Drosophila melanogaster: one gene and its partners. The protein of the gene in region 2 purifies or fractionates together with the protein of the main gene of each other region. This does not show direct contact. Each region holds a gene or a part of one and is shown on either strand. Other genes may lie near its edges.

Region 1 (8,021 bases), on a different chromosome or scaffold from region 2:
CCTAGATCATTGGAATTTATGAAATCAAACAAAATTGATTTGAATGATTTGAAAAGGCACAAAATACAATTGAATTAAGACTGAAACGTGCACGAATGTGCAAACTTGGAATCCTCTTTTCAAAAATTAATTTTGTTTGAATACCGATATGTATGCTTTGTGGGGACACTGGGGACTTCAAGGTCGAGATTATTGATGAAAATGAGTTTGTTGTTTGGACAGGGGGCATTAGCCATTAGCCATTGCGAGCATGTGGGCGCTGTGAAAAATACATATGTACATATGTACACATGTATGTATGGATGTACAATGAAAACACCTCAGCCGTTAAGCCACGATGATTGTCGTTTTATTTTCGAAATTCGTGATTAAGTCTATAATTATTTTGATGGCACAACTGCCGTTGTCCCCGATGGAATTTCGAGCAGTAAAACGGTCACGGATTCAAAATATTGCATTTTAATATGTCGCACTTGCACTTAAAAAAAAAAAACAAAAGAATGTAAGTTATGTGCAGGCAATAACAGCTTTAAAAGATATCAAATTTCCAGCTAATGAGTTTTCTTATGGATGAGAGATGCAATTGTTAAGTTGAAGAAAAATCTAGTTTGTCTAGCTAAATATGCATATGGTTCATAAAACTTATGAATATATATCGCACATTTTTTCTGCAGTTGCAACTTTGCAATCCGGCTCTCATTAATTTCAATTTAAATTTTAATTCCCCTGGCCGACGCTCCCTAAAAGGAATTGAATCGAATCGAATGGACTCGACTTGGCTCGATTCCCGATTCTCGACTCCGACCGCCAATGTCACGCGGCTGAGTCATTTCGCATTTGTTTACAAACAAACCGATGCGGCGGAGTGGGTAGTACCATGGATATGGCCAAGCACACTGGCAGAAAACGACACAGATACTAAGATACTATAATGCCTCTCTGTTAGATTAGGAAACATATCCTATTATAGCTAACAAGCTTACAACAGTACAATTTCCAATCTTAGCTCAGCATAGAGATATTTAAATTTACATATGTATATATGACATATATTTTTCTGCGTGTATTTGGGCCGCCAACGTTCTCCACCCACCCGGTCTAATATTGGGATTTATCGATTCGCACAATGGGCGGAATTGGCTTTTTGATTTAAGGTCTTAATGATGATGAGCTCTGGGTGTAAGTAACCCCGCGAATATGGACAAGATATCGTGGGCCATCACGCCATAGATGTTCTATTTTAGGACGATGGATAATGCCAACCCACCGCAGGACGGAAAATGCACTTTCCACCAATGTGCAACTCTCTCTCTCTCTCTCTCTCTTTCTCTCTATACCGAAGATCATTTCCCAAAACGGTAGGAAGCGTTGATCGGTTAACCGGTTAACTCAACACGACTCATACTCACACTTTCCACTCGCACTCACAGCACACAAATGCTGAACCAGATGCAATTGGAATCACAGTTCGAGGAACTCACTTCCATGACTGAATGGCTCCCACGCGAGAAGTTTTAAGCATACTTATCAAGATCAAGTTGATCATCAACTAATTAATTGTTGCTAATTGAACACTTGTTCCTAGAAAGTTTTTTAGGAGCTTTGAAATGTGTTATGTTATTTCATTGCATTTATGAATTACTAGCTTATTAACGGAAAATAAATCATGGCTTCCTTGTTTTCGGTCATTTTGTATAAACCAAATTTGTCTTACAACTATTGTTTCACTTCTAAATGTGTTCCCCGTGCGTCATTATTTCCATAAAATACAAAATCAATACAGCGAATATAGTGTTTTGGGTGGTCCGCTAACGATTAGTGGTTAAAGTACGCTTAAACAATTCCCTTTGCGGATAGAAGTTCTTTTTGATCCAATGGCAATAGAAACATAATCAAATCCGCAAATCGATGACTAAATGCGGCTTCATCGGTCTATCGATATCGCCACACTGCTGCGCAGCGGCAATCGAAGTACAATCGGTACGAAAGCTATAAAAGCAAAGACACACTGTGAATGCAAAACAGTTCAGAAATTGAAACGCGGCTATCTGTGCGATACGTCCAACCGAAATCACACACTTGAACGTCTTGAGTTTCGAATACATATAGAAAACCCATCGAGTTCCCTTTTTTTTTGGTTGCTCCGTCGATTAGCAAGTGAACAAGCTCGAAAGCGCGTTGAGCAGAACAGAACAGAACAGAGAATAATAGAACGGTATACAGTATATACAGTATATACGGTATACAGTGTACAGCGAAGAGATTGGAGATTCCATCTAGCGAAGCAACCACCAAATAAACCACCACAAACAGCACAACAATGGCCGAGGCTAACAAGAGGAATATCCCCATCAAGCTGGGCGACTTCAGCGTCATCGACACGGAGTTCAGCAACATCCGCGAGCGCTTCGACTCCGAGATGCGCAAAATGGAGGAGGAGATGGCCAAGTTCCGTCACGAGCTGATGAACCGCGAGGCGAACTTCTTCGAGTCCACCAGGTAAGCGTAATAGTGATACAAGTGGGATCCCAACACTGGGATAATTCCACATAGCCTGATTCTACCGGGTGTACTGCGATGGAACCCAATCCCGAATCGCTCGACTCATCGCCTCGTTGTTGGCTCCTCTAAATATAGGCGCACATCTTGCCACATCGCCCACTGGTCTGGAGCTCTTCACCCACAGATTCTCCTACGTATGTACATATGTACATACGTGCATACATACATATGTATGTACTAAACAGTGGGCCTCATAGGAGGCGAGCGGCCCGCTTCAATTCTCGCCCCAGATACACTATGTGTATTTCTTTGCCGTCGCTCTGGGGGAGGATGAGTCACCAGTTCTAAATTCTCCGCCGCTGTCTCCGGCCAAGAAACACATGTGTATCTGCTGCCCGCCACCCGCTAGTAAATCCCCCTCCCCCGCCCCGGCACATGGCTAGCCAGCGTCTTGTGCCCTCCCCTTTCGCTCGATCTCGAGTCCCATACGGTTTATGCAACCGTTATGTAGGGCATAACGGAATTTTTCGAACTTTGAGAATCACCTGTGCCAAGATATTCCGTTATATGTGTGTGTGTGTGTGGGTTTCTAGCTGAGCAGAAAAATGTAATTGTTGATAATGAGATAAGATATTAAAATCTGGTCTCTGCGAGCAAAATTAAATATTTGAAAACGCAAAGCATTGAAACGATCGGTGGCACACATGAATAATGTTCATTAAATCTCTAACTATTTCCATTTGTAGTTACTTGTTTTTAAAGCATACATAAGTGACAAACGCGTTTACCTAGCAATCTATTTCCATTTGCAAGTCAATTAAGTGATTCGGCGGTATTTTAACACCCTCGCATATTCATACGAATCAGAGAGAGGGAGAGAGAGAAATTCCAGTTGAATGTTACGAGTGGCATTTTCAATGAACATAGGTTTATTGCCCAAATCAGCGATTAATAAACAAACAATGCCCCAAAGGCGAATGGCAAATACTATGTCGCCGACGCCGTCGCGGTTGCGCGTCTCGTTAGCCTTTCCATTGGAGTTGCGTTGCGTGGGCGCCAGTTTTGGTTGCTATTGGGACGACCTCGCCGTATGACGCAATCGAACCGATGGACTCTATTTGTTGTTGCCTTCGCCATGGTCGCCACTGCATTTGCATGGCCACAACAGAAATGTTACGACTCCACCCCCCTCCCCCCCACCAGACTTCCGTCTGTTTCAGAACTTGGTAGCGCTCCTCTCCACAACTTTGCCCATTCAACGTCAAAGTTGGCAGTGAAAGGAAATTAACCCAAATTGGTATTGTGCCCTCCTGGCTGCAAATTTAATTGGAAATGAAGGGAAACTCACAGTGGCGGCATAAGTTGTGCGCCAGGGCTTGCTTCGGGCGATTAGCCTAATAATCGCCACAGATTGGCCACGTAGTTTAGTAGCTTAGTAGTAGTATTGGATATATACTTGCCAAATAATTCAATCATTCGCCCATAACTGCCCACTGTCCGCAACCTTTGACCTAAGCGGCTTGGCTGTGGCTGTGGCGTGTTGTCAATTGAAGCGCTGCGTGATATCTGAATGACTCAGCACGGAATAAACGCACGCCCCATATACAGGGCAATAAATCCATACAGGTAGGTGTATCTATGCCCTACCGAAGTTGCCACTTGAAGCAATAGTTTATGCTTTTAACTGGATACATTCCCAACAATGTATATTTTATTATTATGGCATAAGAAAAACATGTTTACAAACATGCAATTCCTGCGTAGCTGCCAAAAGCTGTTCAGGCCATTTGCACATTTTAAATAAAACTTTCTTGAACATATGTATGTATATACATACATATGTGTATGTATGTACGTACTGTCACATACTAACGATAGATTGTGTGTAGTGCAGGGCCTCATTTAACCAACTTGGCCATAAGCAAAGACCGCACATCAATGCTGGCGCCTTCAGATATGAACAATGTGCGGATTCAGATGGATTTGGATGCGGTTCCCAGTAAAATAGATTGGTGCGATTATCTCATGCAAATGCATGGAAATTGTATTGGCCAGATCGGATCGGATGGGATGGGATGGCTACCAAACATAGGCAATGCCAACGGTTTGCCTAATTTATAGACTCATTGTGTGTGCGCACAGTTTAAACAAATAAGTGCGCTAGGATCGTACATACATACATACATATGCACATATTTAACCAGCAAATAGATCTGTGCGAAAAGCTTTCGCACACACGGACAGTTTTCAGTTGCGATGAGCACACGCTGCGGCGATTTAGTTGCCAATATTGTTGGCTGGATGCTGATAATTCAAATGAGCAGCGAACTGCGATGATATCATGTCAATTTTTAGCTATTGCGCTGCGCTTCGACTCGATGCTATTCAATTCGATTTCAATCGATGACAAAACGCCGATCGTCGTCGATAATCGATATTTTAATTCGACATTTGTTCACACACACACGCACACACGCGTACACCGCAAACAACTAAAGAGAGCCATTTTGTTTGCGCTTGTTCTGGTTTTTTGGCCGCCTCTCGCGCCCGTGTTTATTTTCGTTCTTCTTTGGTTTCCTTTCGTTTGGCTTTTCAATAACGAAAAAATATGCATGACATCATTGTCATCAGATGCCAGCGAGATATTGTAGTCGCACCACACACACACAACTCACACACATGTAAAAACGTGGGCTGGCCGGAGAGGGTGGGAGTGAGAGCGGCTGCCAGAGTGGGAGGGCAGGTGCCTCTTCATGCTGTCCAAAGAAACTTTGGCCAGGCGGCTAACGGTTATTGGTACTTATCATTAGCGCGCTATTGATTTCTCTCTTCGAGGGGCGATCAACCTCGCAAAGCACATTGCAAGGTCGCCAATAAGCCCACGCACGTTCACGTTTCGGCTCCGATTGATAAGCTTTCTCTGCCTCTGCTCAGAATTTGCGGAGTGCCAATTGATGGCCGCTTATCAACGACTCTCGCTCGCATGCACACACACACAGATACACACATACATTTTGGCTTCATCGCCGACACGCACAGCGGCTTAACGGTCAATCAAATCCCGTAAGCTAAGAATGCAAATTAAGGTGAACCATAAAAAATATTTAAAAAAAAACGACTTACCTATCAATTGATGTGAGAGTGAAGTGAAGAATACAATATTATTTAAAATGAAATCACAAAATTTTAATAAGTGTAGATTTACTAATTTGAACTAAAAATAAAAATTATTGTGAAAAAGCAGTGCGACAAAATGTAATACAAAGTGAACAATTATGGACCAATGAATTATTTCCTGGGTAAATATGTAAATATTTTATGCATACTTTCCTCTATTGTAGGTAATATACATATTCTTTTTTTTTAGATGCTATGCTTGAAACACTTGGATCTTAATAGATAAACTTGCATTCTAAAGGAAATTGGGGACTGGAAGTGCGGAAAACAAAGGAGTTATCATTAATATATGTACATATGCATAAGAAACATGTACCAAAAATGATTAAATATTAATTACAAGAAAACATATGAATGGCTTGAAATTTTCATTGATCATTGTTAAAAATTCCAGAACTTTAATATCGAGTCAAGGCTGTACCTTTATAAAATAGTTAAAAAATTGCTCACCCTTGTACGATAATGTGTAGTTATCTTTTTGTCTAACTCATTATAAACAATTTCTATCTATTTTTCTCTTTCTTGCCGCTTGGAAATATTAAACAACCGCAATAATTTCCACATAATAATAATCTCCTCTCCTCTCTCTTAAAACAAAAGCTCTACTAAAAAAACAACAACTACCAGGTACAATAACGTAGAAAGTTTACAACCTAAACTTTTATTTTCTGTTTATCCTCAATGTTTTTTTCATTCACTCAACCCCTTATTGTTTGGTAACTAATGTATTGGTTTAATGTTATTGCAATCCACACAGACTAAACTAGAAACTCGTTACCAGATGCATCGCATGTTAATCGCCAAATATACACTATAACATTTATTTATAAACAATTTTGAGCCCGGTATAGACGCAAATACATAACTAGAAATGCATACAGTTCGTTTAAAACTAAAAGATAAAATTATAAAAGTTGTAAGTATAGGCAGTTTTTCATAATAGAAAACCGTTTTGATGCGATCCATACATACATATGTACATACATAGATACATATGTATGCATACAATTTCAAGGAAGCAAGGAATAGTTTTATTTGTAGTCTAGATACATGAAGCCTTAATTCTCAATTCCCTTATGGGTAGTTCCTTAAAATAGAAATTATTACAGACATATGGGGAGATTTATGTTTCGAGGGTGACAGCTGCTGCCCCCAGATCCGTACACATGTACATACATACATACGTACATCGCTTTCAAGCGGAAGCCAGATCTATTATTAGACAGGCGTCGAGCATCGCGGCTTCATTTAAGTTGGGTTCGTTACGTCCGGATCAGTTTCATCCCGGAGAAGCATCAGCATGGAGGCCTTTACGCGCACACTGCAAAATACCTTTCGCAGCACTAGGACCACCAGAACCACTACTACAACAACCACAAACTCCTCCACCAGGTTCCTACCTCACCTACGCAACCCTAACACCTTTGGTTTTATTTCGAGTCTACTTGTTCTTAAGTTTCGCTTCAACACTCAACTGCAATACTCATGTACAATATGTTCGTCTCAACTTATTTGCAGCTCAACGACAAACTCGGCGCTGCCATCCCGAATCCCAAAGCAACAGAACTACGTCTCCGACATTAGCTCACCCTTGATCCAGGTAAGCAATGCAAGGAATCTACTCTTGGTTGCCAAAGGATAACACTTATATATCCCCCTTTGCAGGATGAGGGCGATAACAAAGTGCTGAAGCTGCGTTTCGATGTCAGCCAGTATGCGCCCGAGGAAATTGTTGTGAAAACCGTCGACCAGAAGCTATTGGTAAGTCTCTGCTCAGGATGGTTATGTTTTGCAGAGTTTATCTAACATGGATATCTGATTCCTTTCGACTAGGTGCACGCCAAGCACGAGGAGAAGTCGGACACAAAGAGCGTGTACAGGGAGTACAATCGGGAGTTCCTGCTGCCCAAGGGCGTCAATCCCGAGTCCATCCGCTCGTCCCTCAGCAAGGACGGAGTCCTGACCGTGGACGCCCCCCTGCCAGCACTCACCGCCGGCGAGACACTGATTCCCATTGCGCACAAGTGAAGGCCAGCCCAGTTGTCCAGTTGTCCAGCTATCCAGTCACCATGGTCCCAAGCCGGTTGAGGAGCAATAGGCGCAGGAGGAGCAGGAGGAGTGCGAGCTGCTGCCGATCAGATTAAATCCATACACACATTGAGTTTAATCCAATCCTATCTAAATGATTAATTTTTTTGGTTCTGACTTAAAGCTAAACTATGTTACTGACGTACTACTCATTAACTTAAATATAATTGAAATTATTATTAAATTTGATTAATTTAATTCATATTTATAATTTTCGCATTAAACGTAATCAATTTTGCCGTAGTTGCCCCCCA
Region 2 (5,025 bases):
ACCAGACCTCGGAAATCATAATAAAAAGAAAAGGGAAATACGTAATTATCAATAATAATAGTTCTTAAATTGGCTAGGTCCCAGGTGAAAATACATAGCGGCCACTCCAGATCACGATGACCTGGTCATAATAGAGCAGAGCTCATTGACAACAATAACCAACAAGTCATTGTTTACAAACAAGAAAGAATAAACAAACTGACTACAGTATCTAAAGCTCTAACAATTTCTATACAAAAGGGCAGTTCCGTTCGTTTAGAAATTGCTCTTAGTTTACAAACCCAGATTAGACTCCTAAAAGTAGAAACTGCCATCCAGTGGGCGCGACAAGAGGTCGTAACACACTAGTACTAAATGAAGATGAATTAATTGAAATAGAAAGAATATTTAAGGGAAACAACATGTTATTACTATCGATGAAAGAAGCTATGGCGTTTTCCGAGGTCTCTATTCTACATAATAAGACAACACATTTGTACATCGTAAAAGTCGCAAACTTTATAGAAATACTAAGATATCATTGTAAAACCAATAGTTAAAAACAACAGAACTACAACAACTTAGACTTTCAAGAAATCTTTGCTTTCGAAAATCTTACCTATATATACATATATAAATATGCGATGAGAAAAAAATTGTAAATATAAGAAATTAATTAATTAAATTAGTTGATTGCTCTCCAAATTTAGTTCTGGGAAAGAAAGATCTGTGTAGTTTTAGCAACTCCGACAACTTATCCAGAATGGAAGAGGTCGACGACGGAATCATCCTATTAAACGATTACGATGGAATCATATCCTGGATCCTCACAGAGCTTCACCTACTTTGTTTAGCTATCAAACGACTCGATGATTATCGACAACAGGGGGATTCGCCAACTTGGAACCTACAGCCCTGTCTCCTAGTTCGCCTCTTGTACAATTTACAGATGAAGAAAAAGAAAGACTGAGGTTATATCTCTTGAAACACTGAACCGTTGCATATACATAAAAGGCCAACAGCATAACCCTACTGACGCTCTTCGACAATACTCTGATTATCATCCTGGGCCTTCACACCTATAGTCAAAGGAAGAGAAGCATAAACTTGCAGCTTAGACCTATACCGGGAATGGAAACAAAAGTTAACATCAGCTACCTCAGTTCAATAACATTCCCTACATAAATTAGAAAGTTAAAGTTAATAACAATGAATTCAACATCGGTCTACAACAGAATGTAATAGAGTAACAAACCCCAAATATGCAAGCTCAGCGCCACCAAGCAGATTTCCCAAAATGTGTTTGGCAATTGTTTCCGCTCCCACCAGCGCTTGTGATTCCAAGAAGCCGACGTCGATCCTCTGCCAATAAGGACAGCACAGCCGACAGCTAAAGACTCGCAGCTTATAAAGACGATGTTCTCACTTAAGTTTATAGTCCAACTCTTTTAATGCTCGTTACTCATAGAGTAAAAGGGTATACTAGATTGGTTGAAACAGGCAGAAGAAAGCGCTTCCGACAATAAAATGTATATATATTCATGATCAGGATCAATGTATCGATTTGCAAAAAAAAATTTTGCCACGCCTACTCAAACGCCCCAAAGCCGACAAGCCGGTCACCCCCGCACTTTTGAAAAATTGTTAGATATTTTTCATAATTTTATTGGTCGTGTATATTTCTATTGATTTGCCAAAAAACTTTTTGCCACGCCCACTCAAACGCCCTAAAGCCACCAAACCGGTCACGCCCACACTTTTTTAACAATTTTTTATTTTTTTTTCATTTTATTTTTTTTCTAATATCAATCAATCAATCGATATCAATCGATTTTCCAGAAAAATTATGAACTTTCGCGTTAGCATTGACCCTAGCTTAGTTACTGGTATCTGATAATCAGGGAACTCGACTATAGCCTTCTCTCTTGTTTTATATTATTATACCCGTTACACGTAGAATCAACGAATCTAATTTTACTCTACACGTATGGGGCATAAAAACATATATATATTTTCTTATATGTATATATATTGTTTTTATATAATATTATATCTTAACAGTAATAGACAACTATAGACCGCCGATCACAATGGTAATAAGACATAAAACTGTACATTTGAATGTTGAATATTGTATCTCCTATATATGTATATGTATATGTACATAAAACCGAAAATAAGAATTGTGAGTTTTATAAAATGTGTGCTTTATAATAGGTTATGCATGTACTATAAATATATACTTGTGAATATACATGTGTGTAAGCTTGCAAAAATAGTAAATATTTTTCTATTAATAATCATGTCAATTAATTATCAATTCTTTAAATGTTAAAATGATTTTTGATATATTTTACTATTAGTGTTCAAATACAAAATTAAATAGGGGTGAATTGTTCGCTTTTTTTCCATTTTAAATGGTTAATTAGAGCATAATCTATATGGAAACTTTCACGAATAACATTGTAACAGGTAGGCTTAATATTTGGTAGTAGAAAACTGAATTGTTATTGATTGTGATTTCAAAACAGTGCTATAGTTTACTTAATACAATAATTACATTTAGTACAATGGAAACTCCTAATTAAAAATAAACTACCTTTTGAAAGAGAACAAATATATACAAATGCACTTTCTATACAATACACATTTGTATGTATAATGTTTAGATACATACCATGTAAATAATGTTGCCAAAGTGTACGACTTTTGGCAAAAGGTTTAGCAAATTTAGTTAGTCTGAAGTAAGCTATTCCGAAGGTAAGGAGCTCATATTTACTATTCAAGAACTTTTTACCTAAAAGTACTATTTATAGATACCAAAAAATTTTAATTTATTTATAGACTTTTATTAGTTCAGATAGTAATGGTATTTCTACTTTTAGCTATTTACATTTTATGAGGATAAGCTCCAAACAAATTCCGTCATAATGGCTTATTCCTGGGATAACCGTGTCGATTTTGTCGTTCGGTATATGTATGGTGAGTAGAAAAGGACTTAGGCTTATTAAACGTATCCTATAGTGAATTAAAATACCTTAAAAATTTACGTATATTTTATACAAAAAATTTAAGTTTATATTCCATTGCATTGAATACATAAAGCCATTTTTATACATATCTTCGGAACTATCCGAAATCCGATATTTTAACAATATATACATTTTATTTTAATTTTATTTAATATGGGACGACTATATCATATAGCTGCATTAAGAACTGCTTGAAAATTAAACACCCAAAATAGAATATAAATAAAAGTTTCGTTTTTTAACACTATGGGTGCTAAGTAGACATATATGTTTTTGTAATTACTGAAAGGGTATTTGGATAGGATTAATCAAATTTGCAAGCGCACAAATACAATAAAAATAACATTTACAATTGCTGCGGATCAGATTTATGTAACAATCTCAAGTCTGGCAATTTAAATGTTGCGCCATATTTATGATGTAGTTTTATAATCCGTTAAAATGAGGTCACATGGAACCGGTCAAGTGGTCATTGCAGCTTATATGAGGTTAAGCCAAAGACATTTGAAGAACAAGATGCGTAACGCCATACAATTTTTTGCACACAATTTTATCGGGATGGCTCCAGAGGTGGCTCAGCAGTTCTTTTCTACGCATACAGTGACAGCCGACAACTGTATGGTAATGCATTGTAAATTTGACAATTTACAAGTTCATAGACTTTACATCTGTATTATCTTTGTTTAATTGGCAACATGTAAAAAATTCTTGGCTTGCATGGCCTTAACCAAAGACCCTAGTGTCTAGTTTCTTTGCCTTAACTATATTATTATTTGAATATATATGTACATAATATCACAAAATAAATTTCAAAGATGACTATATTAGAACAAAGGTTATTAGGGCGTTCACTTGCCCCTTGTGAAAAATTAATAAGGCAATCATTGTTGCAATAAACGTGTTCGTGTCTCAAGATATGACTTTTGCAATAAAAAGTTTTCATATTTTTATTCATTTTATAAATATTTATTTTCTACTACTTATTATTTTTGTGAAATATCTTTTCCTCAATGTAATGACTTCTTTTTGGAAAAGTTATGTTTTAATTTAAAATTTTATTATTTTATTTTATTATCCGTTTGATTAAAGCTGACTATACGCCGAGCTTCTCTATTTTTTGAAAGTTTCGCTATATAACCTAGTTTATATATTTAATTAAAGTCGTTTTGTTGCAATATCGTACTTTAGGTGATATATTCAAGGTGTAAATTCGTAATTATTATTTTATTTTATCATATTGCTAAGAAATTGGGTATACTAGGGTATACTAGACTCGTTGAAAAGTATGTAACAGCCAGAAGGTAGCGTTTCCGACTATATAAAGTATATATATTCTTAATCAGGATCAGTAGCGGACATGTCCATCTGTCCGTATGAACGTCGAGATCTCAGGAACTATAAAAGCTAGAAGGTTGAAATTAACCATACAGGTTCTAGAGATAAAGACGCACACTCATTTTTTCATATTTTTATTAGGCTTTAAAATTTCTATGGATTGGCCACAAAACTCTTTGCCACGCCCACTCTGACGGCAGGTTACAGCTAGGTTATGTTGATCATTAACCGAAATTATATTAGGCTAAGTTAAGCCGAGCTTTAAATCTCTCTAAATGCCTATGGGACTCTTGTGGACTCCAAATGGCAACCTCAACTTCACTTGGTCGTAGGGAAAATATTTCAGAGTGTTCAGACAACACGGTTTTCGAGTGTTCGCTTGGATCTCCAATCGCTAAGCTATGAAATCACTGAAATCTATATTCATTGTTAATGGTTTACAATATTAATCTTTGTGCAAATTAAAAGTGTTCCTTTTTAATTATTTGAACAAAAAATTTTTATTTTATTATAATTTAATATTTTATTCATGATAGACCTTTTCACTTATACTATTACAAGACATTCTTTTTATCTCTTGTCTTAAATTTAAAACTGTTCACGATCTCGTCCCGATTCAGACTGATCTTCTAAATATTAATCCTAATCCACTCAACCTTGGCCAGAAGCTTTTCTTTAG
Region 3 (5,500 bases), on a different chromosome or scaffold from region 2:
CCCAGTGGTGCCGAGTCTTCCACAGAGGCTGTGCGCGATGCCTCCGAAGACTAGATGATGCCACAGCCGCCCTTCTGGAATGGAATGTTTGGATCAACGAATTTTATTCTCAAACTTCCCCAATGCCCCCATTAGCCTTGCAAACCCTTACCCGAAATCCACACCGTGGTCGAAGCAATTATGAAACGTACGATTTTCCCTGGCGATTTTACCCAAGCACAGATATGTGAAACTATATACCATAACCGATATATATATATATACATTATACATTATAAATTAGCTGGTTCCATACATATAATGTGTCTTTTTTTTTTAAAAATGAAAACCATAAATTGCTGTAATTGAATGAGAACAATTCGTTTTGAATAATTCATGAGTGGTGTGAAAAGCCAATTGGCTGGGAAACTTTGTAGCATTGTATTTGGTAACTAGTTAGCCATATTTAATAGGTCTAAACTTTTTTTTTCGATTTTCCCTTAAGTAGGCATTAAGACGTGATATCTGTTTATATTCGAATTAAATTTTATTGATGCAGATAGTGGGATCTAGTAGTATAAAATGTGATCACTGCTTGGCAATCTTGTTAGCATTGCACTGGAGATCTGTGTAGATCTGCTCGTTCTGGATTTCGTTTTTGAGCTCCGTGGTGAGCTGAACGGCTTTGTCCTGCAGAGAAAGTTGTTTTCTTTTTAAACGCCGAAGCTTAAATAAGGAAAGAGGATAACTTACGTTGAAATACACATTCTTCTTGCCCTTCTGGAATTCGCCGAACAGAGCGAAAACATCCACCAGCTTGCCGCGGGCACCAAACTTGTCCGAGATCAGCGAGAACAGATGCTTCACTGTCTCCTGCTCCACGCTGGTGGTGTCCGATCGGATGAAGATGGCACGGGGCAGCTGTACGTCCACGTTGCAGTCACGGAAGTCGGTGACCGGTCGCCGCTCCAGACTGGGGCACACCAGCTGCGCGTCCTTGTGCTTCTCCAGCTCGGAGGCGGGCACGATCTGCACCTCTCCATCGTCGCTGGATGAGACACGACAAGCGTCCAGGCCACGTCGCTTGTTCAACAAGGCGGCAGCAGCACGGGATCGTTCGCAATTCTCATTGAATTTGCTGCGGAATATTGATAGTATATGTAGCTAATGTGCTACGGATGATCGAGGGATTCCACTTACATGCTGGCCTTCTGGAGAGCCTCCCGTGTAACGCCGGGTGCTGCGACCGCCACAAGGACATCATCCTGAGCCCTCTGCTCGTAGACGATTGGCTGCAGCTGGTTGCTACGGGCATCCGCGTAGCCAGTTGCGCGAACAATGGTCAAATCCGCCTCCTTCTTGGTCAGAGCCACCACACAATCGGTGGACTGAACGCACTCGAGTTCCGGACGAGCGTCGCGGGCGTAGGCAGCCTGGTGCAGCGCCTGGCATTTGGCGAACTCGTCGTCGTTCTGGGCGCACAAGCGGATCTTCCTGATGGCACTGCCATCACGCTCGATCACATCCTTGTAGCCGGCACGCTCCAAATAGACCTTGGGATCGATGGCAGCATCCTTGCTGTGGTACACGGCATTCGGCTGGATGAGCAGATGGGCGGCGGCGTCCTTGTTCTGCGCCTGCAGTCCATTGGCGAAGAAGCGCTCCAGACGCGACTGCAATTGGTGCAGCTGCTCCGAGTTGTGAACGGCCTGCTCGTTGGAGATGTAGCCGCTCCAGGGGCGCTGGGCCCAGGAGCAGGCGGGTCCGGTGACCGGGCGCCGGGTGCCATCCTCGCACAGATATTCGAAATTCTCCGGATTGCCCTCCGCTGGCGGCGCATCTGGGCCGGCACCCGGCAGACCAAAGTACTTTTTGATGTACTGCACCTTGGAGAAGGCCACCTCGCCCTGACCCTTGTCCAGGCAGCGTATGGCGCCATCATAGCCACTGAACTTGTCCGGATAGTTGCACTGCTCCGGCTTCTCGCACAGAGCGCACAGATTGGCGTACTTCTTCTTCAGCAGGCGATCCGTTTCCGGATGCGTGGAGTAGGTGCCCACCAGGCACGACTGCGTGAAGAACTCGGACAGCGACTTCAGTTCGCGCTCCGTAGCGGAGATCTGCGGATCGGCGGACACCTTCAGGACGTGCGTGTTCTTCAGCTTGGTGATGGGGATCTTGTAGCCGACGTTGCGGCCGAAGCCAGTGTGGCAGGACTTGGCGCCACGCAGCTGCTGCAGGGTGCGAATGGGGGAGTCCTTCTTCACCAGGATAATGCCCTCGTAACGGAAGGCGGCTGTCGAGAAATGAAACCAGTAGGAGATTTATGAGTAAAAAAAAAGGGAACTAGTAACTATTTTGGTCCTTCGAGCCTTTTGCTTCGAATCGCAAATTAACAACAAAGGGCCATTAGTCATTAGTCAGTACTATACATTTTAAATACCCTTTAATTTCATTCGAAAGCATTTCGCATTTTGCTCCCACGAGCATTTGCACCACTTACCATCCTTGTCCTGCTGCGTTCGGATCTCAGAGATCACGCGATAGTCCTCGTTCTTGCGATGATAGGCGATGTACATGTCCTCCGGCTCGGTGGCCAGCACATCGGCCTTGCGCTGCTCGATCAGCTCCAGGCAGTCCACTCGATCCCGTCCAGCCACGCACTCCATGCGGATGCCCGCCTCCGAGGGATCGGCCAGCAGCTGCTGGCACTCGGCCAAATAGATTTGCGGCACACACAGGCGATCTGCCGTTTTGGGTTCGTATGAAATGGATTCAACTGGTTAGATGCATTCAACTAGTGACTCCGGGATGCACATACAAATGGGTTCCTCCGCCAGGGAGGACTGCGGTCCAAGGATCAGCAGGAGGGCGGCCACCGCCAGTGGCAGCCAGGTGTGGGTCTTATGCGGCGACATCATCTGAGAAACAGTTGAAGCTCGACTGTGGAGAATCCGGAGCCGGCTGGTGGCTTTTATAGCCACCCAGATGTGCTGCTTCTTTCCCCGGCTTTCGTGCTCTTTTTTTTTGCACTCGTATTTGTTCTCTTTCGCTTCTATTTGCCCGGCGACAAGGAGGCACAATAATACCAATACCAATACCAATAATAATAGTAATAATAATAATAATAGCAATCATAACAATAAAGAAAGAAAGACAGTCCAGGCGACCGGTTTTTCCCCGAGGAAAGGCGTGAGTGGGCGGCAATCCAGGCCTATATACTCCGGCAAACGAGTTTGCGACACTGATATATGGCTATGCCATTAAATGCGATTTTCGCAAATCAATTAGTATGCTACTCAATCCATGATCTACCTTAAGTTCGACTTTTTGCTTGTCTTCGAGACAATATATAGTATATATAATCGACAATATAATCGATCAAAATCAGAATTTAGCCTGCAGCATTTGTGTGTTTGGTAATTAGTTTTGGATCTTGGCAATAATCAAACAATGAGCCATTGAGCCATTGATTCATTGAGCCAGCGCTTTCTCTTGACAGAATTTATTTAGGCACACACACTAATTTCTTAAGCACATTCTTTACGAACATTTAAGCTGGAAAAATTGCAGTGAATAGGTTTTAAAAATAGCCTATTTAACTATTTGATTGCGATTGTCAAAAAGCGTAGTTGCTGACATACAGCTAAAATCGAGATAGAAACGGCCTGGCTGCTCTTCACTTAATTGTCTTGGCACTTGATCCCCTAATCGATCGAGCCATATACTATATACCTGAATAATTTGATGCCACCGCACCGACTGGCACTTGGTTATTTGTGCCTATTGAGTTATATAAATGCACTGGTGCCTTCAATTTCTAAGAACTCACTACCCTGCCAAATAAACGGGCAAAATCTTCTCTAGTCGCTTGTAGTTGCAGCAACCGGTTGAGTCACCACGGTGGGAGCGACGAGGAGCCAGCCACCACCCCATCCCCATCCATTCCCAATCCATGGATGTTAATCATGCGAGCCCTTAGTCCCAGGGGCATACGTACTTTAGTCACTTATTTTAGTTCTGTTTTTGCCAGCCCATTTTTCATCATTCATTTGCATTTGCATTCATCTAATGATTCGGCTACTTTAAATTCACTCTTCTTGGAAGTAAACAAATTAAGAGTAATTGCCTTTTATTTATACACTCCGAGGGGATATTTTTTGAATTTTTAATTGGACGCATAACTACGATCTTGAGATGGCCAATTTGAAAAGTGCAAGTATTTATTATGATAATTTAAATGATTGCACTGCGTTTAGATAATTTGCAAGCAAAATCTAGATTTATATGTTATGCGAAATTGTTTTATATTCCTAAAAATGCAGGGGATAAACTTCGAGTGGATAAACTTGGAGCTCATTTAAGCTTCTGCAAAAAGTGAGAGTATGCGCTATTCGCATATCACTCACATTCGCTTTCGCACTCGTCTCTAGTTTTATATACTTCAATTTCGCCCCGCTATCAGGGCATTTGTTTATTCAGGCCGGGCACAGAACCTGTTCCACGATGGGATCAGATCACCTAGCTAGTCACCCGCACCGGCTCGTTGCAGTAAGAGCAACGAAGAGGAGCTGTGGAGAACTGTCCACATCCAGCAGAGAATTGACGAACTGCTTAAAATGCAGGCCGTGCCTCCTCCTTTGAGGGAGGGGGCGTGGCTGGGCAATGAGTCGCGGGGGCGGCAATTGAATGATGAAGTGCAAAACGAGATCACAATGGCAAATGCCGTGGGACTTGGGACGTGGGCGTGGGCGGGGATCTTTCTAGTGGAATCGAAACCAGAAACCGAATTAGATTGCTTGGCAGTGCCGCAGATGCAAACACACACACTTCGCACTGGGCAAGGTCAAGAGCCCCGGAGCGGTCGGGAATTTACCCGGATCGCAATGGGTTGGGGATTTTTCCGAGTAGTCCGAGGTGGCCTCTTATCAGCAGTCCTCTGGCACGGAGGCTATCTGCAGCCAGGTAATAGAAGGGAGGTAATGGAGCTACGCCCAGCACAAAGTGTGTTTGTCAGCGCAAAAGCTTCGTTGCATTATTTAACCGCACGGAAAAGGCATTCATCAGGGAAATTGTATGCGATAAAAATGAAGCACTGCTACTCACTTATTTTAAGTACAAATTGCAAATCGAATGGCATTTTTGAAACAGTGATACTTACTATTTTAAATAAAAGTATATAACAAAATAATATTTTGTTAAATGTGTTATATATGAAATGAAAAATTCATTAGCTTTAACTTAATGTAGAATAATTTGTTTATAACACTTTTCATTTTTTACATTTTTGGCATGCATTTACATAGTTACATAGCATTTCAAACTGCAGTTATGGCGCGAAAAAGACACTGTAACTTAACAGCACTCGCTCTGTAGATGCAAGCACTGCAATGCAAGTAAATTTCCAGCTATACATTTGTGGAGCTTAAGTGCATCTGCTTTTTGTACATTCTAATGTTAAACTTGTTGAACTAAAAAATGATAAGAATGATAAATAACAATCAAATAACAAAACGTTTGA
Region 4 (7,641 bases), on a different chromosome or scaffold from region 2:
GTCTTGCCCTCCAGGAGCTCCAGCGAAGCGCCGCCTCCGGTGGAGACGTGCGAGACGAGTGCCTCCGTGTTCCACTTGGCGCAGCAAGAGGCAGTGTCGCCGCCGCCGATGATGGAGACGGTGCCGTTCTTGGTGGCGGCCACCACGCCGTCCATGATGGACTTGGTGCCGTTGGCGAAGTTGGGGAACTCAAAGACACCGGGGGGTCTAAAATGGGAAAACCATTATAGGACATTTGGAGAAGTAGCTTCAGTGTGACACCTACCCGTTCCACACGATGAGCTTGGCGCGTGCGATGGGTGCCGCGAAGAGCTCACGGGTCTTGGGACCCACATCCAGACCCATGTGTCCATCGGGAATTCCGGCCTCCACGGTGGCCTCGCTGACGGCAGCGTTCTCGGCGAACTTGTCGCCGCAGACAAAGTCCACTGGCAGATGCAACTGCACGTTATTCTTCTTGGCCTTCTCCACCAGTTTCTCGACGATCTTGGAGCCCTCCTCGTCGAACAGGGAACCGCCGATCTTCATGTTGTTGAGGACCTTCAGGAAGGTGAAGGCCATGCCGCCACCGATGATCATCTCGTTGACCTTGTCCAGAAGGTTCTCAATCAGCTGGATCTTGTCGGCCACCTTGGCGCCACCGAGAATTGCCAGGAAGGGATTTGGTGGCTTGTCCAGGGCCTGCGAGAAGTACTTCAGCTCCTTGTTCAGCAACAGACCAGCTGCGCGCTGCTCGAAGCCATCGCCCATCATGGAACTGTGGGCGCGATGGGCAGTGCCGAAGGCGTCGTTGACATAGACATCGCCCAGCTTGGCCAGGCTGGCACGGAACTCCTTGACCTTGGCAGGATCGGCCTTGACCTTGCCGCCGCTGGCATCCAAGCCCTTGCCCTCCTCCTCCACGTAGAAGCGGACGTTCTCCAGCAGAATGACGGATCCCGGTGCGGGATCCTTGCAAGCGGCCTCCACTTCGCTGCCGACGCAGTCACTTAGGAAGATCACATCCTGGCCAAGCAGGGTCTTCAGCTCAGCGGCCACGGGTGCCAGGGTGTACTTGATGTTCTTGTTGCCATCGGGACGACCCAAGTGGGACATCAGCACCACCGACTTGGCTTTCTTGGAAAGGGCCAACTTGATACTATCCAAGGCAGCGACAATTCTCTGGTTGCTGGTGATCTTGCCCTCCTTGATGGGCACATTGAAGTCGACGCTGCAAAGAAGCACGGGCAATGTTTATGCAACTGAATTTCACGCGAGGATTGGCTTTGGATTACCGCATCAACACCCGCTTGCCCGCCAAGTCCAGGTTTTCGATGCTCAGCTTATTGAAGGCCATCTTTGGATTTTTCTGGATTTTCTGGATACTTCCTGTGCGTGCTAGCAAACTCCGGATTGCGATACCACTGATTCCGCGAATCTTCTTCGTCCTCAACTGCTGTGCGGCAATGTCAGCGCAAGGTCATTTTGTCGGTGAGCTGCTAGGGTTGCATCTCCACTTCCAGGGCGTCAATCCGTGGCAAGCGGTTTTCCGCCGATTGGTAGGTGCCATGCGCAGGATCCAGCTGGGTATACTCCTATTTTGGAGTCCGAAGTTGGTATCGGATTGTATTCTCGTTCGAAAGTTGGATAAAAGTTGTACTCTCCAAATGCAACTCTGTATTTGGCGCCCAAGCAGTGTTGGTAAGTGCTGTCAGCACAGTGCTGTGAAGCATCCGTTCCAAGGGTGTCGAAAAGGGGCCACACAATTCTAAAATTTAAAAATCTATTATTTAAAATATCATTATTTTCATAATATTTAAATATTGTCCATAGATAATCATATGCTAAAAATTAACAAAATAAATGTCTGCATATTCTGACTAGATCATTTAATTGATCATTTGCTATTTACAGTATACAATTTTTTTTATATTAACTTAAATAGAAACCGTTCATATAATATTTTCACTTAAATACATATAAAAATTATTTTTTTTAATAAATTTTTTATAATAAATTTTAACCCCTTAGAACTTTTTTCTTCCACACCCTTGAATGTCTGTTAAATTTTAACTGAAAGTCCGAATTAGTGATTTTTTATAAAAATTTATAATTAATTTATAAAAATAATAAAAAAAAAATTTAATAAATAATAATAATCTACGACGTACATACATATGTCCATACCGTATGTAACAGCCGCCCCTTTGATGTTTGTATGTCAATATGTAATTATTGAATAAATGATTTCTGTTGAGGCCAACAAAGTCAAATCACACAATCTTTCTCGGTGGCCGTTGTTTTATTTTGACTGTGCAAACGGATTCCGCTTATGATGCCATGATGATGGCTCCGCCTCTTCCCCCAATGATTCATTCATTGTTGCCCACTCTGTATCTCTACTCATCTCCGGCGGTCCAAGCAACCACCGGCGGCACTCGGCACTGGCACCACCAAACGCTAACCCACCGCATCACCACCCACCACCCAGCACACGGAACACCACCACCCACCACAAGTGCTCAGTGCAGCGAAATGCATGACGCAGATGGCAAAGTAAGGTATATGGGAACGAACGAGGTTGGGTTGGTTGCTGGCCATTCGGGGGTTTTCTAGCCAAAGTGGCGGGTTTTCAAAGAACTAATCTGCCCAAAGGACCAATTGTAATGTGAGCACATCACTAAAATAATCGATAGATTGCCATATCTGATGGGGTTTTGGGTGGCTGCCTGGGAGACTGGGGTGCGTATAAGCCTATTTGGGGCACTTCAGATGCAGCATTGCAGTGGTAGCGGCTGTCCTCCTTCATCCTTCAGCCAGCCGTCGGAAGAATGTCCACTCACACGTCACGGCTGTGGTGCTCTGCGCAATTAAGGCACCGCCGAGGACCCGGGTACCCACTGGTGATGACACCACGGCGCTGCTGCTGGGTCAGGTGGTATTGGAAATCGAAGACAATGGGGCTGCTTAAATTCATTTTAATAATTGCGTGTAAACCGCCCGTTGACGCAGGTGAAACGCAGGCGAGCAGGTGAGCCGGGCCAGTACATATACCTGGTCGAGTCGCGTCCATGTGGCCCGGCACTCGTGTGGAAACATTAGCACATGCCGGGAAAACGAGACCCGACTCCGAAAGTGTCCAATGCGACGGCGACGGCGATGACGTGCTAGCGCTAGAGATCAAGAATCCAGAGAGTCAAGCAGCCAAACAACAGCCAAGCGACCAAGCGAATCGCCCATCTAGCAACAGTCTAACAATCACTCTAATCGAGTCGTAAACCTGTTCATGTTGTTCCACCCAGCCATCTTGTTGGGTACCTAAGCGCTAGAAGGGACAGCCTATGGTGGCTATTCGTATGCGCTACAATTGGTTTTGTATCTGAACGGTGAGCTGCGCTACTCTTCATACATTGTTTACCATGCTATCGATGATATCATATCGAAATAAAGCTGTCAAAAGAACTGAAACTTCCGTTTTTGAAAAGCCTAACAACCCGATTAGAAGAAATCTATTAAGCACCGCATTAAGCTGAAAGAGCGAAAAACTTAATCGCCGTGAATACAAGCTGATGTGTGTGTTTTAGATACACATGCTAGCTGAAGCGTCTGGCTATCGATTGTGTTTGCATTGAGATTTGTTCGCACCTTTATGCTACAGCAAATTAATGACGCAACAACGTGTAAGTGCACTGGGAGAAATTCCTGAGGCAGGTCAGTAACGACAACGGTCGGGGAAAAATCCCTTGCGTTAGTTTCGTGTTCGAAAGGGCCATAAAATTTCCGAATCGACAGATGTTTGGGTTCCGGGAAGCAGGACCATCCATCCATTTCTGCCTGCTTGAGATCCTACCTACCCGGTGGTTGCCTGCATTTGAAACCGTTGTCTAACCTTGAAGTAACTACGGTCGTACCAACCAAGCCGATAACTCGAGAAATTGGCACAGGTTGTCCTCAGGAATCTAGATACCATTGTTCAACACCGAGAGGTGGTCTCACAAGCCCGATGAGCACGACTATTCGTATCGCGAGAGACCCACCAATCTTGGGCCGACGAGCGTCAAGCCACTCGAACGGATACTGAGAGTTCGGCGGACGGAAAGTGAGACAGTGACAGCCAGAGAAGAACGGTAGGCGGCCCATGGAAGCACAGCGAAATGGAGACGCAAATCGGCTTATCAGGCAGCGATGTTCAGGCAAAAAGTCATCGCTGCTCCTCAAATATGTGATAACTGAGTGGACGACGGGCCACGATTACAGGTGTTTACGTTCACCATGCCGCCTCGGTTGGGATGCCGCGGAACATGTTCGCCGGTTTTAATTAGCGATCCGCCTGTCGACAGTCGTCCGCTCGCTCTGTCGTCGACCGTATTATTCAGATTACCAGATATATAGCCTAGGTATTCGTATTTGCCATTGCTTTCGCACGAAAATAGCTGAAAGCGTGAGAGGCTGTCCAATCGAAACTCGACTGTTGGATACCCGGCAAACGATAGTTATTACCCTTTCGTCGATAGGCTACTGGAAATAGCACCAAGAACCTTATGTCTTCCGGTCGAATTCCTCTAGTATTACTTTATGGGTTGTTATTCCGCTCGTTAATGTGCACATTTTGAATGAACTTGAAGATCAACCTCGCAGTGATTGTCCCACTGATAACACAGATTTATAGAGAAGAGCCAGTACAACTCGAGCACGTTGACTACCAGGTGATATGGGCGATATGTTATAGCCTACTCGGCAGTTCCAGTTTCCCATATATTGGGCGATTCCTGAACCCACTGGGTTCGTGCGGCGAACGAAGCCATCACCATCAAATGGTCGAACCACAAGTGCGGGATCAACAGAAAGATTGGCACATGAAAAAAGAGTCAAGGGTGGACCCAATTCGACGAGTGATAGGCATTGGCATTTAAGTCGAAGTCTTTGGTGGGGCCATTAGGACTTAAGGATGTTTAATATTTCTGGAAATTGCCGATTTCGAAAACTAACCCTTAAATGTTTTCGAATCTTATGGGGTTGCAAATTGCTGTTTTCTTGCTATTTCTCCAGTTCTCTAATTCTAGTTTTAAGACGCATAATCCCGGAATAGAGCATTTCCCCGATTGCGTGCATCTAAATAGTTAGAATCTCAAAAATAGCTGCCCGCTTTCCTGGTCCGCGAAAATCACCTGCTTCCCCACACGTTACCAATCAATTGACCCCAATCCGCGACGACATTGCGTCCCACGCTGGTCCACTCTATAAATACGAATACCGTGCTGAATACAACACACAGCACACACATCTGCATCTGCGGCAACAATGCTGCAACACTTCTTCCCATCGGCAACATCCACATCCACTGTTCTGCTCTGTTCTGTTCTGTTCCACCGACGAACGGTCAGAACGCCACAGAGTGACTGCACCACACACACCACACACCACCATCGCCGCTACCAACCCCCAGACCCCGCCCCCAGGCCCACAAGCGCACCACTGGCGCGCGCAATTTTCAAATTTACCGCCAAACGCGCCCACAACCGTACTCACGGAACCCAAGCAGATTTTGTATGGAATTAATCAGGAAACCCACTCAACTTGTCATTTGCGGATCTAGTTTTGATCGCAGCGCCTCGGGAAAAAGCCCAAAATTAAGCGGATACTACCAGCTATAGCCTCGATCAGTCTCTGAACCGATCCGAACAAAGGTATTCAAGTTATAGGCAAAAATGTCTGCAACCGATTTGGCGCAAGAAGAAGCAAGCGGCAATTTCTAGCCATCGAACGGACGGCAAGCTCAGTCTTGTACGAACCGTCGACGGGAGCACATATCGGTGGTTAGCAAACCAAAGGAAAACGGATATTCCATACATCAGTGGGGCCTACGAGTAAATCCTTTTGCCTGCCGTAGCGCCGCCTGATATATGGCACCTCCTAAAGCCTTACTATATAGATACTATATTATCAGAAAATCACCGCAAAATAATATACCAAAAATCCAACGATCGCTCTGCTCTGGGCTGTTGTTGTTGTCTTATCGACTGCGGCTGTACAAATGCCGCGGCGATTTTTTGAGTGTATTGTATGGGCCAATGGCGTGGGAGAGAGAGAGCGAGTGAGCGTCGTAACGATTTCGGGGAGAGCGAAAAAGAGAGCAGCGAGAGCGTTTAAAGAAAGTTACTCTCTCCTCGAGAGGCAGTGCTTAAATAGACGGCCCGCAGCTGAATCGCATTCAGTGTGTTTGTGTGCTTCGTTCGGTGCGGTTCTCTCTGTCTCTCTCTCGCCTTCCCCGAGTATTTTGCGCTGGTTTTTTGTCAACAACAAGACAATCCACAAAACCAACCCGAATTGTTCTCTATATAACGCAGAAACTAAATAGTTCCGGAAAACCTCAAAGAAACCAATTCAAATATGTCGGCTGCTACGGAACAACAGAACAACGGCGATGTGGCCGTGGAGAAGGTGGCGGCAGATGATGTGTCTGCTGTCAAGGACGATCTCAAGGCGAAGGCGGCCGCCGAGGATAAGGCCGCTGCTGCCGATGCCGCCGGCGACGCGGCCGACAACGGTACGTCAAAGGACGGCGAGGATGCCGCCGATGCCGCCGCCGCTGCCCCCGCAAAGGAATCCGTGAAAGGCACCAAGAGGCCAGCAGAAGTGAGTACTGATCTATGTGACTAGGTAGTTGTTTACGCGGTAAAACCAAAAGGAGGCCCCTCTAATGATTCACTCCAAGCCAATATGCCAGTAGCATAGCATTGTTCGAGGAAAAATTCTAGAAATAGATATACACACGTTTTTCGGAACAGCGCACTCTCCCAATGGCTTACATATGCCCCCAAAAGAGAGAGCGTATAGCTGGCTCGGTTGTGCGTTTGTGTTGTTTACGATTAACCAAGATGATTGCGGGTCCGGCAATCAAAGATTATTGTTGTTAGGTTCAAATCGAGGTTAGGAGGGCCGCCGTGCTTATATAGGCGGGGAGTACAGTTAGCCAGGGCCTTTTCTTTGGTGGGGTGGGTAATGTGTTTTTAATAAACCCATAGGTCATTAGCATTGACGTGTCCGCTGAACAGCGTTACCCAGCAATAGATACATTGTGGCATTACGTCTATAACTCATACGCTTGGCCTTATTTATCAGTCGCTGTGGCTACGGGAATTGCAAATGCAAACGCAAACGCAATTCAGCGCGATGCCAATGCACTCTCTCAATGAAAACACACATTGCCGGCCGGTAAATTACTCATGTCATGTTTGGCCACTTTATTTTTGGTTAGTATCGCCAAGAGCACGCGGTATTCGAACAAGTTTTGGGGGCCTGAAGCAGTCGCATTCCATAATCGAGTAGCACATTTCTTGATAAAAATAAAATAGTTCGGCCAGTAAGGCAGATAAATTGGCAAATCAAGCGCTTTTCTCAGACTCAAACTCGAAATAAAAATGTACAGTTTAACGGGAGCGTTCTCTCGCTCTCTCTCTCTCTCCCCGGAGAAAGATAGATACAAATAGAGAGCGCTGCTAACTCTCTCCCTCGTAATTTGTATACACACCGTTTTGTCTGTTTGCGTATGTGCTTACATTTATCTTTCACTTTTTTTTCTGCTCTGCCTTATGCGTATTTATTTTAGTACATAAAACAAGACGGCTAAACAGGGTGTCGCAAAAGTTAGTTGGGTTTCTT

Evidence for each region.
Region 1: the proteins of Scp1 (region 2) and CG14207 purify together in Drosophila melanogaster (affinity purification with mass spectrometry, with the first as the bait; one large-scale study listed by BioGRID). This does not show direct contact.
Region 3: the proteins of Scp1 (region 2) and Tsf1 purify together in Drosophila melanogaster (affinity purification with mass spectrometry, with the first as the bait; one large-scale study listed by BioGRID). This does not show direct contact.
Region 4: the proteins of Scp1 (region 2) and Pgk purify together in Drosophila melanogaster (affinity purification with mass spectrometry, with the first as the bait; one large-scale study listed by BioGRID). This does not show direct contact.

The regions. Positions count from the first base shown.
Region 1 is NC_004354.4:19,603,184-19,611,204, forward strand, and holds the start of CG14207 (uncharacterized protein), read left to right. Parts: upstream 1-2,015; 5' UTR 2,016-2,320; coding exon 2,321-2,499; intron 2,500-6,279; coding exon 6,280-6,306; intron 6,307-6,954; exon of another isoform or gene 6,955-6,979; coding exon of another isoform or gene 6,980-7,071; intron 7,072-7,197; coding exon 7,198-7,279; intron 7,280-7,344; coding exon 7,345-7,440; intron 7,441-7,512; coding exon 7,513-7,707; 3' UTR 7,708-8,021.
Region 2 is NT_033778.4:2,965,031-2,970,055, reverse strand, and holds the start of Scp1 (sarcoplasmic calcium-binding protein 1), read left to right. Parts: upstream 1-2,003; 5' UTR 2,004-2,072; intron 2,073-2,711; exon of another isoform or gene 2,712-2,739; intron 2,740-2,864; 5' UTR 2,865-2,909; coding exon 2,910-2,961; intron 2,962-5,025.
Region 3 is NC_004354.4:18,385,349-18,390,848, reverse strand, and holds Tsf1 (transferrin 1), read right to left. Parts: upstream 3,766-5,500; 5' UTR 2,901-3,765; coding exon 2,801-2,900; intron 2,726-2,800; coding exon 2,483-2,725; intron 2,276-2,482; coding exon 1,180-2,275; intron 1,118-1,179; coding exon 733-1,117; intron 670-732; coding exon 568-669; 3' UTR 505-567; downstream 1-504. Other genes in the region: Nt5b (5' nucleotidase B), read left to right, coding at 1-54.
Region 4 is NT_033779.5:2,747,046-2,754,686, forward strand, and holds the start of Pgk (phosphoglycerate kinase), read right to left. Parts: upstream 6,024-7,641; 5' UTR 5,950-6,023; intron 5,796-5,949; exon of another isoform or gene 5,400-5,795; intron 3,945-5,399; exon of another isoform or gene 3,869-3,944; intron 3,103-3,868; exon of another isoform or gene 3,034-3,102; intron 2,269-3,033; exon of another isoform or gene 2,167-2,268; intron 1,748-2,166; 5' UTR 1,337-1,747; coding exon 1,275-1,336; intron 1,211-1,274; coding exon 266-1,210; intron 208-265; coding exon 1-207. Other genes in the region: Bacc (bacchus), read left to right, coding at 6,370-6,615. UniProt on the Drosophila melanogaster protein: Enzyme of the glycolytic pathway. Glycolysis is essential in glial cells but not in neurons; neurons rely on the citric acid cycle for their energy needs, and on lactate and alanine secreted into the hemolymph by glial cells to fuel it.